2 linked regions of the Diceros bicornis minor genome follow. The protein of the gene in region 1 purifies or fractionates together with the protein of each later gene. This does not show direct contact. Links are inferred from orthologs where the notes say so. Each region holds a gene or a part of one and is shown in the gene's direction. Other genes may lie near its edges.

Region 1 (8,135 bases):
GTCCACACCAGCAGCTGTAATAGTGACCAAGTAGATGACACCCCCACTAGAGCCATCCCGGCTCATGGCCAGAGCGATAGCTGCAGAGGGTTTCAAGTTGGGGAGAGAGAGAGAGAGAATGGCTTAGCTTCAAAAATCTTTTCCTTTCCCTCCTGTCCATATGCCTACTACCACATTCAGACCTCAAAACCCATCTCCTAGAAAGGCACATTTAGTGGTGTGCTGGTAAACCAACTTAAAAAAATAAAAGCCTTCATATGTAGCATCTCCCGATGTCTATGGTCTCAATACTCCCACCATGATCAATTTCAAGTTATAAATAGCTTAACAAGCAGGTCACAAACCCTTGATTATTTAACAATTGGCTCTCATGAGCTGGCCCAAGCCAGCTCCAGCACACTGCCGGTTCTTATGGTAACCATGTACCTTAATTTGGTGTACTCAGAACAGTCCTGGTTTATGCCTTTTGTTCTGAAGTCCCATTTAGGTAAGCATTTATTCTGCCCCCTTTCACTCTCAAAAGTGTTGTCCTTTGGACATTAAATTAAATGGTCACCCATGTATTCCTCTTCCTGTTCTTCATATTCTCCTTCCTTCCCATGTTTAAAAACCCTCCCAGGTACCCTTCCACTTGGTTAGTTACCATCCGTGGTGAAGCGCCTGCACTCCTCAGGGGACATGCCTGGTTTATATGCTGCGTCCACATAACCGTAGATATAGGTGCTGCCAGAGCCACCAATGGCAAAGGGCTGTCGAGTCAGCATTCCTCCCAGGGTTCCGTATACCTGAGGGAGGCATCCTCAGGTCAGACTATAGAAGCATCAGTCTTCTCCTTCCTACTGAGACAAGCAGGTGGTCTCTGCACTCTGCAATGAAGCCCCAATATCTCATACCCCCATTGGTTGAGACCGTACTACGCTTTCAGAGGCAATGTCTTTGGAACTCATTGCTAGAATGACATATGACCTCCATGTCCCTCTACAGGAGAGTGGGGAACCTCAAGGGAGGGAGTGCATTGGGGAAGACTCGCCTGGCCCCCTTCACGTTGGTCCCAGCCAGCTACCATGAGATGTGCAGACAGATCCTCCCGATATTTGTAGGTGATATTCCTCACCACGTTGGCAGCAGCCAGAACAAGCGGAGGTTCTTCCAGTTCCATCCTGCAGGAAATGTTAGGAATAGGGGTCAATATAATTTCCTGAGGTTCCATCCTCCTGTGCCATTTCCATCATTCCTGCCAAGTGACACTTGAAACCTATAGCTGCAATGGTTCAAACTCTGGCTCCCCTCCCACATGTACAGGGGAGCCAGAGTCTCACGCCACCAACCAGTAACAAGATTTCAATTGTTCCCCTCCTTTACTCTGTCCCACCCATTCACCCCCCAATGGCATAACTCTCTCTTGGCTGCAAGGGCCCTGCCCACGTGGGTAATAGCAGATAAGCTTTACTTCCACCCCAAGACCTTGGTTTTTCATACAGTAACCGTCTGATATTTTGGTGGGCAACATCATCCTTTTCTTCCTCATTATTTACATTAGGATAGTGATTTAAAGTTTTCAAACTGCCTTCGCATATGTCATTTGCTTCTCAAAACAACCATCTGGCGAGGTAGGGTAGGTACTATTATCTCCACTTTACGGATGCAGAAACCAGCTTAGAGAGATTCAAGTGCCAGTTGAAAGCTAACAAAAGCAAGAGCTCAAACAAGACAGTGCTCCTGCAACAGGACACGGTACGGGGGTTCACTGCCTGCGGGAGCTCTAGCAGGTGTGGAGTGAGGACCCGAGAGCTTCGAGCTTCATACCCATGGAGCTCCAGCTGGTAGGCGGCCATGTCGGCCACAGCCTGGGCGTCAGCAGCTGAACCAGAGAGGGCACAGTAGATACGTTGGTGCAGGGGGGACAGCTTGTCAAACACTCGGTTCACCACTGCCTCTCTGTCGGAAAGGAGTCAACAGTCATCAACGTTAGAGTTGCAGAAATTTTTGAGGTTAATCGTCCGGTGTTTCTCAAACTTATTTGACAAGAGGACAGCCACATAGTGCATGAAATTCAATGCTTGGATTAAAGCAGGGAGCATAAAAATCGTCTCAAATAAATGAAACACTGCAAGTAATAATCAGAATTAGACTTACTTTCAGGCTTAGATTTTATAATAAAAAATACTAAGTTAAGAATAATGCTCCTTTTATCAATTTTTCTTTGCTATTAACCATCTTGAGGAAGTTATGTGTTTCATGGAACATAAAGTAAGTAATATTGATCTAATCTCATATGGTCATTTTGCATGTGAGGCAATTGGCCAGGAGGGAGAAAGACTCAAAATTAGTTCAACGTGTGAAAGATGAGAAACCAGAATATCTGCTTGGCAGAATCATCTTTTCTATCTAAAGAGGGCCCCTCAAATCTCCATCTCCTATCCCCTTCTTAGACTCTATTCCTTCCAGGGACAGGCCACATAAGCATTCAGGCCCCACATGCTCCTCCATGAAATCAGAGACCTGAGCACCCACCCAATATCTTATTATACTGGCCTTTCTGAAAGGTTAACTCCATTTCTCCAAAGATCCAGTTCACTAGTCTCTTCATGAATAGGTAAGAAAAACACATATTTAGGGCCACTAGCTTCCTTCCCAAAGCAGATACGTTCACTGATACTTACCCCGCAGACACCCGGGAATCAGAACCCACCACAACGCCCCCATCAAACTCTACTGCCATGATGGTTGTCTGCAGAGACACAGAAGATGGAATGTCAGAGCAGGCAGAGCCTTGATCCCCTCATGTTACAGATGAGGAAACATTCCTAAAGAGGAGAGGTAACTGGCTCAAGGGCATTCAATAATTCAGGCCAGAGCTGATTCCCACTTTACAGGATTTTTTCTTCCATCTTCCCATTTTCTCTATTGCCTCTCTCAGCTGCAAGGGAATGTCATAGCCTGGCCGTGGTACGACACAGAAAGAACCACATCCCTAAGTTCCAACCTTCCTACGTGGAATCCTTTCCACTGTAGGGAGAGAGTTGGGGATGAAGCTCCTAGGGGCATAAGCGCTCCCTTTGAGGGAAGGGCTCAGGGGGTACTTCCAAGCTTCAGTGAGGCAGCCCCACAAGTGAATTACCTCTACCACATGTGCTTGTTGTATGTGCAAATGCAGTACAGACCTGACACAGAGCAAGTTACTGTGACCTTGGGAAACAGCTCAGGTCTTTTTTTGGCCCTAAATCCCCCCCCGCCCCCCACTTAATCAGAAGCAAGCTTTTTCAGTTTACTGAACAATGGAGAAAAACATGGAGGGGTAAGTGGTTAGCATGGCCACATGTCAAGGAAGGAGGGAAGCAGCAGGGAGCACATGTGATGGTTTACAATAAAAGTTTCACTTAAGGATTTCTGATCAAGAGGTAAATAGATATCCCAGCAGCCAAGGGAAGAGGGAGTTGATTGGAGAGTCTGAGCTGACTTTTTCAGGTCAAGAAAAGAATTAAGCAAGAGTGAAGGAGGATAAAGCTACACTTTCTCTACTCCTGTTGAGTTGGAAAGAGCCTTAAAGATACTTGGCTCAAATGAGGAAACCGAGTCATAGAGAAGGCAAGTGATTCATCCAAGGTCACACAGAATTAATAGCAGACTGGGACAAAACCCAAGTCTAACTGCCATCCCTTGTTTGGACTTCTACTTCCTACTTGCCACTGTTCATCTGGCAGTGAGGGGAGATTTTCTAACATATTAGTGGTTTTACCGCTATCTTGCTCACCACTTGTCAGTTAGTCTGGCGCCTGGGGATACTGCCCTGACGATGCTTTCTGACATGCTGATTTCCCATGAGTAGAGGGCCAGAGAGCAGGGACAACCCCGTCCTAGAGGTCATTCCTCTATAACAAAGCTGCCCCAAGCCAAGAGTGGCAGCAGTAGTCTGGGAGCAGAAGGTAGCCAGCTTTAGGCTGCCACATCTCCAGGCACCCAGTCTGGACAAAGTCCCCAGCAGGCATGTGGGAGTGGGTAGGGAAGACACAGGGAAGGGAGCATGGCAGCACCTGGGCCATGCAGGCGCATTCCTGGGCCAAGCCAGAGAAGGGCACCATCAGCTCACATGGAACACCCATGATCAGTGCTGGGCTATGAGTTACTCAGGGACCAGTTTATCAAAAGTCTGTGTGATGAGGTGTCCCTTTGCGATCAGCGCCCATACTTCCCTCCCCCAGGTGTTGTCCTACTTCACCCAGGGCACCATTTTCTTATCTCTTTGCACCTTCTCCAACCCCCCTCCCAGTTCAGAGCAGCCCCTCTCTCCAGTTCAGAGTGAAAGCGAAAGCGCTTTAGAACAGCTTCCCCTTGACGTTTCCAGCTAAGAGCCAAAGCACCCCCTTCTCCACTACCCTCGAGTGCCCAGTCCCTTCGCGGACCCCTAGATGATCCCCTTCAGAATACAGATGCCCTATATCATTGTGGGGTGCAAGCACTGGCTGCTACAAGCTATCATCTCCTCACTCTCCTTAGTCTCCGCATTCACTCCTCGGCGCTTCCACCGTCCCCCATCGCTCTACTTCCTCCACCCCTCTGCTAACCCTCAAGCCCAGCTCATTACCCCAGTGTGGACTTCTCCGGCCCGGGGTAAGTCCCCGGTTGGTCCTCCCGCCCGCAGCATCCCGGCGCCGCGCTCCTCGCTGCCTGGGGCACTGGTTTCCGACCTGGGACAGCGCGCTGCGCGCAGCCTACAGCCCCGCCCCTTCACCACGCCCGCCAGGGGGCGCCTGGGTCCTCTCCCGAGGCCGCGCTTCCGAGCGCTAACCTTTGTGCGGCCGATCTGCCCGGAGACAGGTGACGCAAGAGTCCCGCCCTGAGGCTGGGGTGAGAAAGTCCCGACAAGCGGATCCTGCCAGAGGAAGCAAGGAAAGGAGGAGGGACGGCTGTGCGTGATGGACAAAGATGGAGCACCGGGGCTGCTCCCCAGAACCTCAGATCTGATTTCCTTAAGCCCTTTCCCCAAATCATCTGGGCCGGCCGTGTTCGGAAGGGGGCGGATCTAGCGAGCCGGGGACCGCTTTCGTTTTCTCTTTCCACTAAACCTGCTAGCGCGGACGGGCTCAGCCGGTTCCTGGGACTTTCCGAGAGCTCCGCCCCGGCCCGCCCTTCCTCCCTCCCCCAGCCGCCGGTCCCGGCGCCCGCTCGGGCACCGACTCGAACCGCACCCGGAGACTCCGGCCCAGCGGGGACGGCGGAGTCCCAGGCCCGGGCGCGACGCCCGACAGCGCCCGCGTGCCAATGGCCGGCTCACGGTCCCCCGCTCCCTGCGGGTGCCTCTGCCTCTCCCGAGCTTCCCTCGCGTGGCTGGGCACAACGCTGCTGCTTCTCGCCGACTGGGTCCTGCTCCGGCCGGCGCTGCCCAGAATATTCTCCCTGCTGGTGCCCAACGCGCTGCCGCTGCTCCGGGTCTGGGCGGTGGGCCTGAGCCGTTGGGCTGTGCTGTGGCTGGGGGCCCGCACGGTCCTCAGGGCCACCGTTGGCTCCAAGAGCGAAAGCGCAGGAGTCCAAGGATGGCTGGCTGCTTTGGAGCCGCTGGCGGCGGCGCTGGGCTTGGCCCTGCCAGGACTTGCCTTGTTCCGAGAGCTCGCCTCCTGGAGAGTCCCCAGGGACGCCGGCAGCACCAGGCTACTGCACTGGGGAAGTCGCTTCGACGCCTTCGTCCTCAGCTACGCAGCAGCACTGCCCGCAGCCGCCCTGTGGCACAATCTCAGGAGACTTTGGGTGCCAGGAGATCACGGGGGTTCTGGAGACGCGGTGCGTCGGCTTCTGGGCTGCCTGGGCTCAGAGATACGCCGCCTCCCGCCGGTTCTCGTCCTGTTGGTCTTCTCCTGTCTTGGTAAGGGGGGCGCACGGGGACAGAGAGGACGCTAGGGGACTCGGCAGGAATCAACAGCAATGGTCAGTGAGAGAGATTAGTATGCATTCTGGGAAATGTGGATCGGGCGAAGGCGACCGAGCTCGTGTCTTGAGAAGACCACTCCAGTGTAGACGAAAGAGCCCCGGACTGGGTGGGAGTCAGGAGTCGTGGACTCCAGTGCTGCCGCAGGCGTGGCTTCACTGGCCACCTTGGGCAAGTCCTTTCCTCTGGGGCACACACCCTATGATCTCCTAATTAAACTCCTAAAGGTCTGGCGGGGCCACAGCGTCGTGAGTTCCAGGGCGGCCTGTTCAGGTGCAGGGTTGTGTCCTCAGTGTGCTCTTTCTGCCACTGACCTCCGGGATAATGGTGAAGGGTGAAAGAGGGGTGGGTTGAGGCCAGTCTGGCTGGAGCTGACCTGCTCAGACTTGATATTAGTGACTGACCTCTCTCTCTCCTCTCCTTCCCCAGGGGAGATGGCCATTCCATTCTTCACTGGCCGCCTCACCGGCCGGATTCTACAAGATGGGTCAGCCGCTGCCTTCACTCAAAACATAGCTCTCATGTCCATTCTCACCATAGCCAGGTCTGGGCACTAAAGATGGAAGGCTGAGAAGGGGGGACTCTGAAAAAAAGGGAGTTGGAAGTTCGGGCTGCTGTCCAAAGTGCACTTCTCAGGGATACCTGGGACCTTCTGTCTGTCCCCTGAACACACCCTGACCCTCCTTCTCTGTCTCTCTCTAGTGCAGTGCTGGAGTTCCTGGGTGATGGGATCTACAACAGCACCATGGGCCGCGTGCACAGCCACTTGCACGGAGAGGTGTTTCGGGCTGTCCTGCGCCAGGAAACAGAGTTTTTCCAACAGACCCAAACAGGTTTCTCGTGAATCTCTTTCATTACACATCCATATATGTACTCTTAATATCCCCATACATCTTCTTTACTTATAACCTTGATCCCTCTCTCTCACATATGAACATTGTCATTGCTTATTCTTGTTATACCTCAAGGGCAAAATATGACACTCTTTACCTTCAAAAAGCCCTAGTTTTTCCATCCAAGATTTTTCCATAAATGTATCCCTATATGTGTATTTAGATAGAAACTACAGAATTTCAAGCCTGGAAATTTTGAGATCACAGAGTCCAACTGCCTCATTTTACAGAGAGGGAAACTGAGGCCTAGACCCTCAATGCTGAAACTTGCATGGTCACATATGGATAAGAGACGAACCTGGGGATGGAACCCGTCTCTTGATTCTCAGTTCAGTGCTCAGTACAGTTTCCTGCACTGCTTTATATTAGCACCCTCTGTTTTTCTCCAGCTCTGTTATATCACCAGCTTAAACTCTTCCTGTCTATGTGTACAGCATGGGATATACAGGTTTTTTAAGGAACAGAAATCTGTCAGAGAAACGGAAATTCACATGGGCATCAGTTTCTTTACAATTAAATTGAAGGTCTTTGGCCACGCTTTTCCTCTCTAACACTCCTTCTCCCTGCACTGAGATCGCCAAACCTCCCTATAGCCCTAACCTTGTTTTCCCCAGCCTCTTTAGAACACCACGTCGACACCCCTCCCCCTGGCAGCCAGGCTCATTGCTAGTCCCTCCCATCACTCTGCCTCTCACTCACTCCGCTCTCTTGTCCTGAACCCGGCAGGTGCCATCACATCTCGGGTAACAGAGGACACGTCCACCCTGAGTGAGTCTCTGAGTGACCAGCTGAGCCTATTGCTGTGGTACCTGGTGCGAGGGCTGTGTCTCTTGGGGCTCATGCTCTGGGGGTCACCGTCTCTCACCATGGTCACCCTGGTCGCCCTGCCTCTGCTTTTCCTTCTGCCTAAGAAGCTGGGAAAATGGCAGCAGGTATGTCCAGGGAGTCGCCTCAACTTACACAGACTCTCATCTCCCAGACTTGGAGGACTCAGATCCTCTTATATTTCTTTCCTGGCACCCTCACTGATTCTCCACCTTTGTAGGATTGCTCAATGTTGATCTTCATATTCTCTGTCTTCTCTTCTGGCCACAATCTATCTTTAAGAATATGATCACCAGTCTCAAGAATATGATCCCCTATGGCCCTTCTGAGTCATTTTCCTCTCGTCTGTATTGCTTTAGTATCCAGGGGGGATAACTGTGTTTCTTTCTCTTTTCTCCTGTCCCTCTGCCTCTTTCCACCTTTAGTCTCCATTCAGGTAACTCAGGTACTAGTGTCCCTTTGGTTTGTCAACCCTTTGTGACATCTCTTGTCCA
Region 2 (7,830 bases), about 320 kb from region 1:
AGGTACTTACAAGGTAAGAGGGGAGGCTACTTTTCCTGACTTCATTCTCTTTTGTTGTCTGTTCAGTTTCAGGCACTCTGTCTGAATATTGCACCCACCACACTCGTTCTCTTTTTTTTCCCACCCCAATTTTTAATCTCCAGAGTCCTTCCCTCTGCTTCTCCTCCTCCTCTATTCCAGACCTCTCTGACTCTGTCTCTCACTCCCCTGCAGATGAGTGTGGCCACACAGTGCGATCCAGAGGAGATCATCGTGCTCTCGGACTCGGATTAGCTGCCTCCCCCTGCTCCCTGCCTCCAGAATGTTTTGAGGAGAGTATTTGGAGGATGGTGGGAAGCAGATGACCGAGGAAGGGGTGAACTGAGCTAATCCCCTTTTGGTGGTTTCTTTTAAAATAAAATTTTAAAAAGCTTAAGTTTTACACAGAAACATTAATAAACAATAAAGTTCTTTTCCTATTGTATCTCTGTCTGTCCCTTGTTCTTTGGCTCTCACTGATTGGCACCACTGCTCTCTGGCTCCAGGTTAGCCCGCCTTCTGGTAGCCCTGGACCTGTCCTTCTAGCCTGCCCTTAGCATGCCCCTCTCTCCGAGTATCCTCGCTCTCGGGACTTCCCCTTGCCCTCTCCCAGGCATTAAAAAAATTGTGCTTCAGCCTCCTGGACTCGCTTTACTTTCTCACTTGGAGCGGTAGGAGTAAAAAAGCCAATCAGGGGCAGACTCAAGGTTATTTGGCCAATCCAGGCCCGGAGGAAGGGGGCGGGATTTCAGGGGGACTGTCAGAAGCTGGGAGACCAGGGCGATTAGATCCCGCAAACCCGCTAATGGACACAGCTCAGGGGCGGAGCCTAGGCAGCGGTGGCCATGACCCATCGCCAATGGGAAGAGGCAGGCTTACAGAATTAAAGGGGAATGAGTGCTTCGGCGAAACCAAATCCTGAGTCCTCAGCGGCGGAAGGGACCTGGTAACTTTAAGGTGGAACGCGGCGACTGTACTTTAAAGGAGAAGTGGCCGAGTCGGCCGAGTATTGCCCAGCGGCACGGGCGGGGTGCCCGCCTGTGCCTTTAAAGCCGGAGGGGCGGGAGGCGGAGCGGAGGCGGAGGGCGGAGGGAGTCGGCGCAAGATGGCGGCGGGAGGGGCCCAGGCTGCGGCTCTGGCCGCCAAGTGAGGGGAGGGGGGGCCCGGGGGCGCGCGGCTCGGTAAGCGGGGACGCGCGGAGTTGGGGGGCGCCTTCCGGGTGGGAGAGGAGGTCAAAGTAGCGCTTGGGGCGGAGCAGAGGGGGGGCGGGGTCCGGTGTGGGCGGGGGTAGACAAGGGGCGGAGCCGAAGGGGCCAAGAGGCGGGTCTTGAAGGGGCGGGGCTGGAGGTAGGTGGGGGTAAAGGGGCGTGGCCTGCGAAAGAGCCGGGGGTGGTATAGCCTAAATGGAGACGGAGAGAGGGATAGTTTTCAGTACAGGAACAGACTTTTCCCTCTCCTAAGAAAAGAGTACCAAACACCAAAAAGGTAAATTTTAGAAAGTCCGGCTCAGGCAAATGGGAAATTTGAAGGGGAGGTATCCCCCTCCCCAAGAGCACCTTATTTCTCTAACCTCCAAGGAAAGAGCACTGGATTTGGAGTCAATACACCTGTGTTGGTGCTGCCGTTTACTGGCTGTGTGACCTTGGATAATCTCTTAATCCTTTTGACCCTCAGTTTCCTCATCTGTCAAATGGGGTTTCGAGGAATACCTACCTCACAGTGTGGTTGTGGGGAGTTACTCAGATAGCCGGTGAAACATGTCTGTAAACTGTAAAGGGCTATGACATTATGAGATACTATCATTCTTCTCTCTTTTTCTTCCCAGAGACCCCCCCGGCCGCCCTCCTCTTTCCCTTGTTCCTGTGGCTGGGGGGGGTACCCCCTCCCTCCACACCATGGAGCCATCTCCTCTGTCTCCCAGCGGTGCAGCACTCCCCCTGCCTCTGTCGCTGGCCGCGCCCCCACTGCCCCTGCCTGCAGCTGCGGTGGTGCACGTATCCTTCCCTGAGGTGACCAGTGCCCTGCTGGAGTCCCTCAATCAGCAGCGGCTGCAGGGCCAGCTCTGTGATGTCTCCATCCGGGTGCAGGGACGAGAGTTCAGGGCTCATCGTGCTGTCCTGGCTGCCTCCTCCCCTTACTTCCATGACCAGGTCCTACTCAAGGGCATGACCTCCATCTCACTGCCCAGCGTCATGGACCCAGGCGCTTTCGAGACTGTCTTGGCTTCGGCTTACACTGGCCGCCTCAGCATGGCTGCTGCTGACATTGTCAACTTCCTCACAGTGGGATCTGTGCTCCAGATGTGGCACATCGTGGATAAGTGCACTGAACTCCTCCGAGAAGGCCGGGCCTCGGCCACCACCGCCGCCACCACCACTGCTGCAGCCTCCTCAGTCACTGTCCCTGGTGCTGGGGTCCCGTCAGGGAGTGGGGGCACCGTGGCCCCTGCCGCCATGGGCTCCATGCGCTCCCATGCCTCCAGTCGGGCCAGTGAGAATCAGTCCCCCAGCAGCAGCAACTATTTCAGCCCCCGGGAGTCCACTGATTTCTCATCTCCCTCCCAAGAGGCATTTGCAGCTCCTGCAGTGGGCAGCGGGGAGCGTCGAGGAGGCGGCCCTGTATTCCCAGCCCCTGTGGTTGGCAGTGGGGGGGCTACTTCTGGGAAGCTGCTGCTGGAGGCAGATGAGCTTTGTGATGACGGTGGGGATGGGAGGGGTGCAGTGGTCCCTGGGGCTGGGCTCCGGCGACCCACCTATGCACCCCCCAGCATCGTGCCGCAGAAACACTGGGTATATGTGAAGCGAGGTGGAAACTGCCCAGCATCAGCGCCCCTGGTTCCCCAAGACCCAGATCTGGAAGAGGAGGAGGAGGAGGAAGACCTGGTGTTGACGTGTGAGGATGATGAAGATGAAGAGCTGGGGGGTGGCTCTGGAGTTCCAGCAGGGGGAAGACCTGAGACTACCCTTAGCATAAGTGATGTCCGGACCCTGACTGAACCTCCGGACAAGGGAGAGGAGCAGGTCAATTTCTGTGAGTCCTCCAATGACTTTGGCCCCTATGAGGGTGGGGGTCCTGGGGCAGGGCTTGATGATTCAGGGGGGCCAACCCCTTCCTCCTATGCCCCGTCCCACCCTCCGAGGCCCCTGCTTCCCCTGGATGTGCAGGGCAACCAGATCCTAGTCTTCCCATCGTCCTCCTCCTCCTCCTCACAGGCTTCAGGCCAGCCACCAGGGAACCAAGCTGAACACGGGGCAGTGACCCTGGGGGGCACATCGGCAGGGGCCCTGGGGGTGCCAGGCGGCGCTGGAGGGACCCCTGGAGGGACAGGCGGCGGGGATGGGAATAAGATCTTTCTGTGCCACTGCGGGAAGGCCTTCTCCCACAAGAGCATGCGCGATCGGCATGTGAACATGCATCTCAACCTGCGGCCCTTTGACTGCCCCGTGTGCAACAAAAAGTTCAAGATGAAGCACCACCTGACCGAGCACATGAAGACGCACACAGGCCTCAAGCCCTACGAGTGCGGCGTCTGCGCCAAGAAGTTCATGTGGCGCGATAGCTTCATGCGCCACCGGGGACACTGTGAGCGCAGGCACCGCCTGGGCGGGGGCGGGGGCGGGGGCGGGGCCGGGCCGGGACCCGGCGCGCCCACGGGGCCAGCCTTACCGCCCAAGAGAGAGTCCCCCGGGGTGGGCGGGGGCAGCGGCGACGAGGCTAGTGGGGCCACGCCCCCGTCTAGCCGACGGGTCTGGTCCCCACTCAGCGTCCACAAGGTGGAGATGGGCTTCAGTGGGGGCGGAGGAGCAAACTGAAGGGACAGGCTGCTTGGGAGTAGCTTTCGGGGAAGAGGGAATAGAGATCACGAGCCAGGGGTTACTGTGGCCCCCAGGCGATGTCCCACCACACTTACTGTCTTCCTTATCTCTATGGACTTGTATATATTCTTCAGGGGGAACCATGTTGCACCATCGGCCACCCATTCCACGTGTCAGCCCCTCCCCCCCCAAAGTATCCCCGGAACTAAGCCCTCTCTTCGCTTCAGATGGGTACGCTGAAGCCCCAGCTCCAGAGTAGGGCTCATATGGTTGGGGAGGAGGCGGGAGAGGGGGCCTGTTGAGCATCGTGGAGTCACAGGGTCAGGGGTCAGGTGGTTATAGTCTGTACCTAAGTCTGTGTTTGTGTTGTCGTGGGGACCACGCCTTTGAGCCCCACCCTTGTCCTAGGACCCACCCCGTCCCCCGAAGGATGTGCCCCTTATTTCTACCCTAATCCCAACCCTTCCCCCACCTTGGGGTCCCCCAACTCGATTTTCATCGGGGAGGGAGTGGAGACAAGGAGGAGGTCGTAGGAGTACAAGCTTTTTATTTTAAATCTTATTTTTTTTAAACCATCATTAAAATATTTATTGGTCATTTCACTTGGCTTCCCGACAACCCCTATGTGTTTGCTGGGAAACTGGCAGAGGTCGGGGAAGGCGGAGTAGTGGTTCTTCGCAAAGTGGATTCTGGGGGGAAATGATCGGGGGCGGGGCCTATGGTTGGGGAGGGCTCTGGGACTGGGCAGTGCTGGTGCGGTCAGGAGGGCGGGGCGGGGCTGAGGTCCCAGACCTGAACTGAAGAGAATGTTCCGGGATCCCTGCCCCGCCAGTGGGGGAAACACCTGCCGCCCACGTGCCCTCACCTAACCGGAGCGGGGGTTGCCTCCGCCCCTCCTGATGGCCTTGAGAGTAAAGAGAAAGTGAAAGGGGAAGAGCAGGCTTCCGGGCTGAGGAGATCGCGGCGCCATGAAGCCCTTGTCCTTTCTCCTCGCTGTGGTTTTGGGTGAGCGAACCCCCGGAGTCTGCCCAGGAACGAGGGGGAAGCGGAGGGAGGTGACCCTGCCACGCGCCTGCCGCCGGGGGGTGGGGGTCGGGTCATCTGACGTCTGGGCCGCCCCCTCACTCGCGCCGCTCTGCCCCAGGCTTGGCGACCGCCGTCTCGGCCGGACCTGCGGTGATAGAGTGCTGGTTCGTGGAGGATGCGGGCGGGGGCCGCCTGGCCAAGAAACCCGCTGCACTGCTGCTGCGCCAGGGCCCGGGGGGACCACCTCCCCGGCCGGACCTCGACCCGCAGCTCTACCTCAAAGTGCATGGTGAGTCATCCCGGACTCGCTCCCACCTCTGTCGCCTGCACCGAAAACCCTCCTCTTTAGGTCGCACAGTGCCCTCGGGCTTCAGTTTCCCCCTCTGTAAAATGAGTCTGGTTACCTCCAAATTTCTCACTACCAAGTAGTCTGTGCATTTGAAATTCCCTGGACGCTGCCCTCACCGCGCCTGGCGGTGACTCTAGAGCTCAACTCTCTTCTCTCACAGACCCGGCGGGCGCTCTCCAGGCCGCCTTCAGGCGGTACCCCCCGGACGCCCCCGCGCCACACTGCGAGATGAGCCGCTATGTGCTGCTCCCCGCCTCGGCGAATTGGGCCAGCGGCTTGACCCCGGAGCACAACTGCCCGCGGGCTCTGGACGGGACTTGGCTCATGGTCAGCGTGTCCAGCCAGGTCCTCAGCCTCTCCGGCCTCCTGCGACCACAGTCCGAGCCTCAGCCCGAGCCCGCTCTCATCACCACGGCAACAGGTAGCTGGGGAGGGGAAATGGAGCGAATGGGTAAATTCTAAGGGTCCAGATCAGCTGGTGACTCGCTATGTGGACTTGAGCCAGTCATTTCCCACATCGAGTCTCAGTTTCCTTACTTATAAAGCGAGGCGGTTCGGCAGGAATTAAACAATCTATCTCTACCGCTTCTTCTAGCCCCGCCCAGTAAAAAATCCCCCCAAATCAAAGAAAACCAAAACCCTGCAGCTTGGGGACGGGGCTTCGTGGTCGGAAGGGCGGAGCTTTGGAGCGAGGCGGGGTTTCCGGACACCGGACCTTAAGAAACTTTTTAGGCGGCGCGGTTGGGAGGGGCTCAGAAGCAGGAACTTTTTTCTCCTCTCCTCCCAGATCTGTAGGCACCCACACCTTTGTGGTTCACCCTGTTTCAAAAACCAGTCTTCGAGCCCCACCGGGTCCACATCCATCGCTGCAGCAGTCAGCAAGGAAAGGCTCTTGCGCTCGAGCGCGTTCACTTCCCTGACAGCCCCTTCCCTATGGCGCGTGGGGATGCGCTGATTCTGTGGTCACCAAGCGGTGGGCTCGGGTGGGCGGAAGGGACATGGCAGGAGACCTGATAGTCCTCACTGCAAGGGACCTGATAGTCCTCACTGCAAGGATCGCTGATTGCATCGTGCAACGCGGTCTGAGGCCCAGCGGTCGGGCACTTTGCTGGGCTGGGGCGCGGAGAAGGAGTGGGCAGAAAAAGCAAGAATGGGGAAGATCTGATTGGGATATCTGGCAGCTCTCCCTTTTCGCAGCGAAGTGTGGGTAGGATGTGAGTAGGTAGAGTCCTCGGCTTCCCTCAGTCTTGTGCGATTTTATGCGGGCGGGGGCCGCCTGGCCAAGAAAGTCCACAGCCGGACTGGCAGGTCAATCCCAGCCGAGCCCTGCACCCTCCCTTCCCCAGTACCTCCTCCCAGCCACTCTCCTCACTGTCAGACAATCACCCACAGGACCAGGGAAACGGATTCAGCACCCACCCCGCAATCTTCACCTCTGCCTACACCTCCATTCTTAGTTCCCAGACCCCACCCTGGGCAGGGGCAGAGGCAAACTGCTGCTCGTGGGGACAGTAGCTCTCTCCAGTGAGGAGGAGTATTTTCCAGGGCTGCTGGCTTCACCGAGGTGGGGGGTGAAAATGTCCTTTTCTCTCTGAGTCTGTTTTTCCAAATGTAAAATGTAGATGCTATTTCCAATCTGCCTTACCCTTGTTGTGACTATCATGGGAGACACTTTGTTAATTTATTCACTGATTCAATAAATATTTATTAGCACCCAGAATAAATTAGGGCCCAGTAGTTCTCAGTCCAGGCTGCAAATAAGAATCTTCTTGAAGTTTCTAAAATATACTGAAACCTGGGTCCCACTCCAAGGGAATTAAATGAGAATCTCTTGGTGGCCCCGGGCACTTTTAAGGGTCACAAAGGTGATCAGATGTAGATTCTGCTCTCTAGAAGGTTCTAGGCAGATTTGTCAGAGGTAATTGTTATGTAGATTAGAAAGTGACTTGGGCCTTGAAAGAAGTGCAGATAGGAAACCATGGGAGTGCCCAGGGGGGGAAATTATCTACATCTCACAGACCACTGGGGGTAAAAACTCACTGCTGTGCTCAGTCTTCCTTTTCAAGCATTTCTGCTTGATTAGGGACTGAAGAAAATGAAAGTTGTTGTTTTAATGTAAAATTAAAAATGGAATCTTTCCAGGGTCAGATCATTGGTAATCTTGCTAATATACATTTATACATTATTTCTTATCAAATACTTTCAAATGTTTGTTAACAAATTTACTTTGTTAACATACTTTGTGTGTATGGTATTTAATTCTCATCATTCTTTTAAAACATTGTTATGGGAAATTTCAGATACACAAAAGTAGAGAGAATCATATAATGAACTCCCATGTACCCATCACCCATGGTATAGTTATTACATTTTACCAAATTGTTTTACCTACTCTCCCCCCACCTTCTTTTCTCTTTTCGAAGTGTTTTAAAGTATATCCCAGGCATCATATTCTTTTACTCATAAGTACTTCAGTAGGCATCTCTATTAAATAAGGACTATTAAAAAAATACAACCACAAAACCATTATCATACCTAACAAAACAAACAATAATTCCTTAATATCATTTAATTCCTAGCCTATATTAAAATTTTCCCAATTGTCTCAATGATGTTATTTTA

The links.
Region 2: the proteins of TAP1 (region 1) and TAPBP purify together in Homo sapiens (co-immunoprecipitation; 6 studies listed by BioGRID and IntAct, with this or other methods). This does not show direct contact. The link is inferred for Diceros bicornis minor from reciprocal best matches to the Homo sapiens genes TAP1 and TAPBP.

What each region holds. Positions count from the first base shown.
Region 1 is NC_080753.1:31,464,383-31,472,517, forward strand, and holds the start of TAP1 (antigen peptide transporter 1), read left to right. Parts: upstream 1-5,092; 5' UTR 5,093-5,262; coding exon 5,263-5,860; intron 5,861-6,352; coding exon 6,353-6,467; intron 6,468-6,625; coding exon 6,626-6,756; intron 6,757-7,542; coding exon 7,543-7,748; intron 7,749-8,135. Other genes in the region: PSMB9 (proteasome subunit beta type-9), read right to left, coding at 1-80, 644-785, 1,031-1,160, 1,807-1,938, 2,664-2,731, 4,586-4,645. UniProt on the Homo sapiens protein: ABC transporter associated with antigen processing. In complex with TAP2 mediates unidirectional translocation of peptide antigens from cytosol to endoplasmic reticulum (ER) for loading onto MHC class I (MHCI) molecules.
Region 2 is NC_080753.1:31,148,289-31,156,118, forward strand, and holds the start of TAPBP (tapasin), read left to right. Parts: upstream 1-4,616; 5' UTR 4,617-4,801; coding exon 4,802-4,838; intron 4,839-4,977; coding exon 4,978-5,148; intron 5,149-5,368; coding exon 5,369-5,629; intron 5,630-7,830. Other genes in the region: DAXX (death domain-associated protein 6), read left to right, coding at 1-13, 214-273; ZBTB22 (zinc finger and BTB domain-containing protein 22), read left to right, coding at 1,914-3,830. UniProt on the Homo sapiens protein: Involved in the association of MHC class I with transporter associated with antigen processing (TAP) and in the assembly of MHC class I with peptide (peptide loading).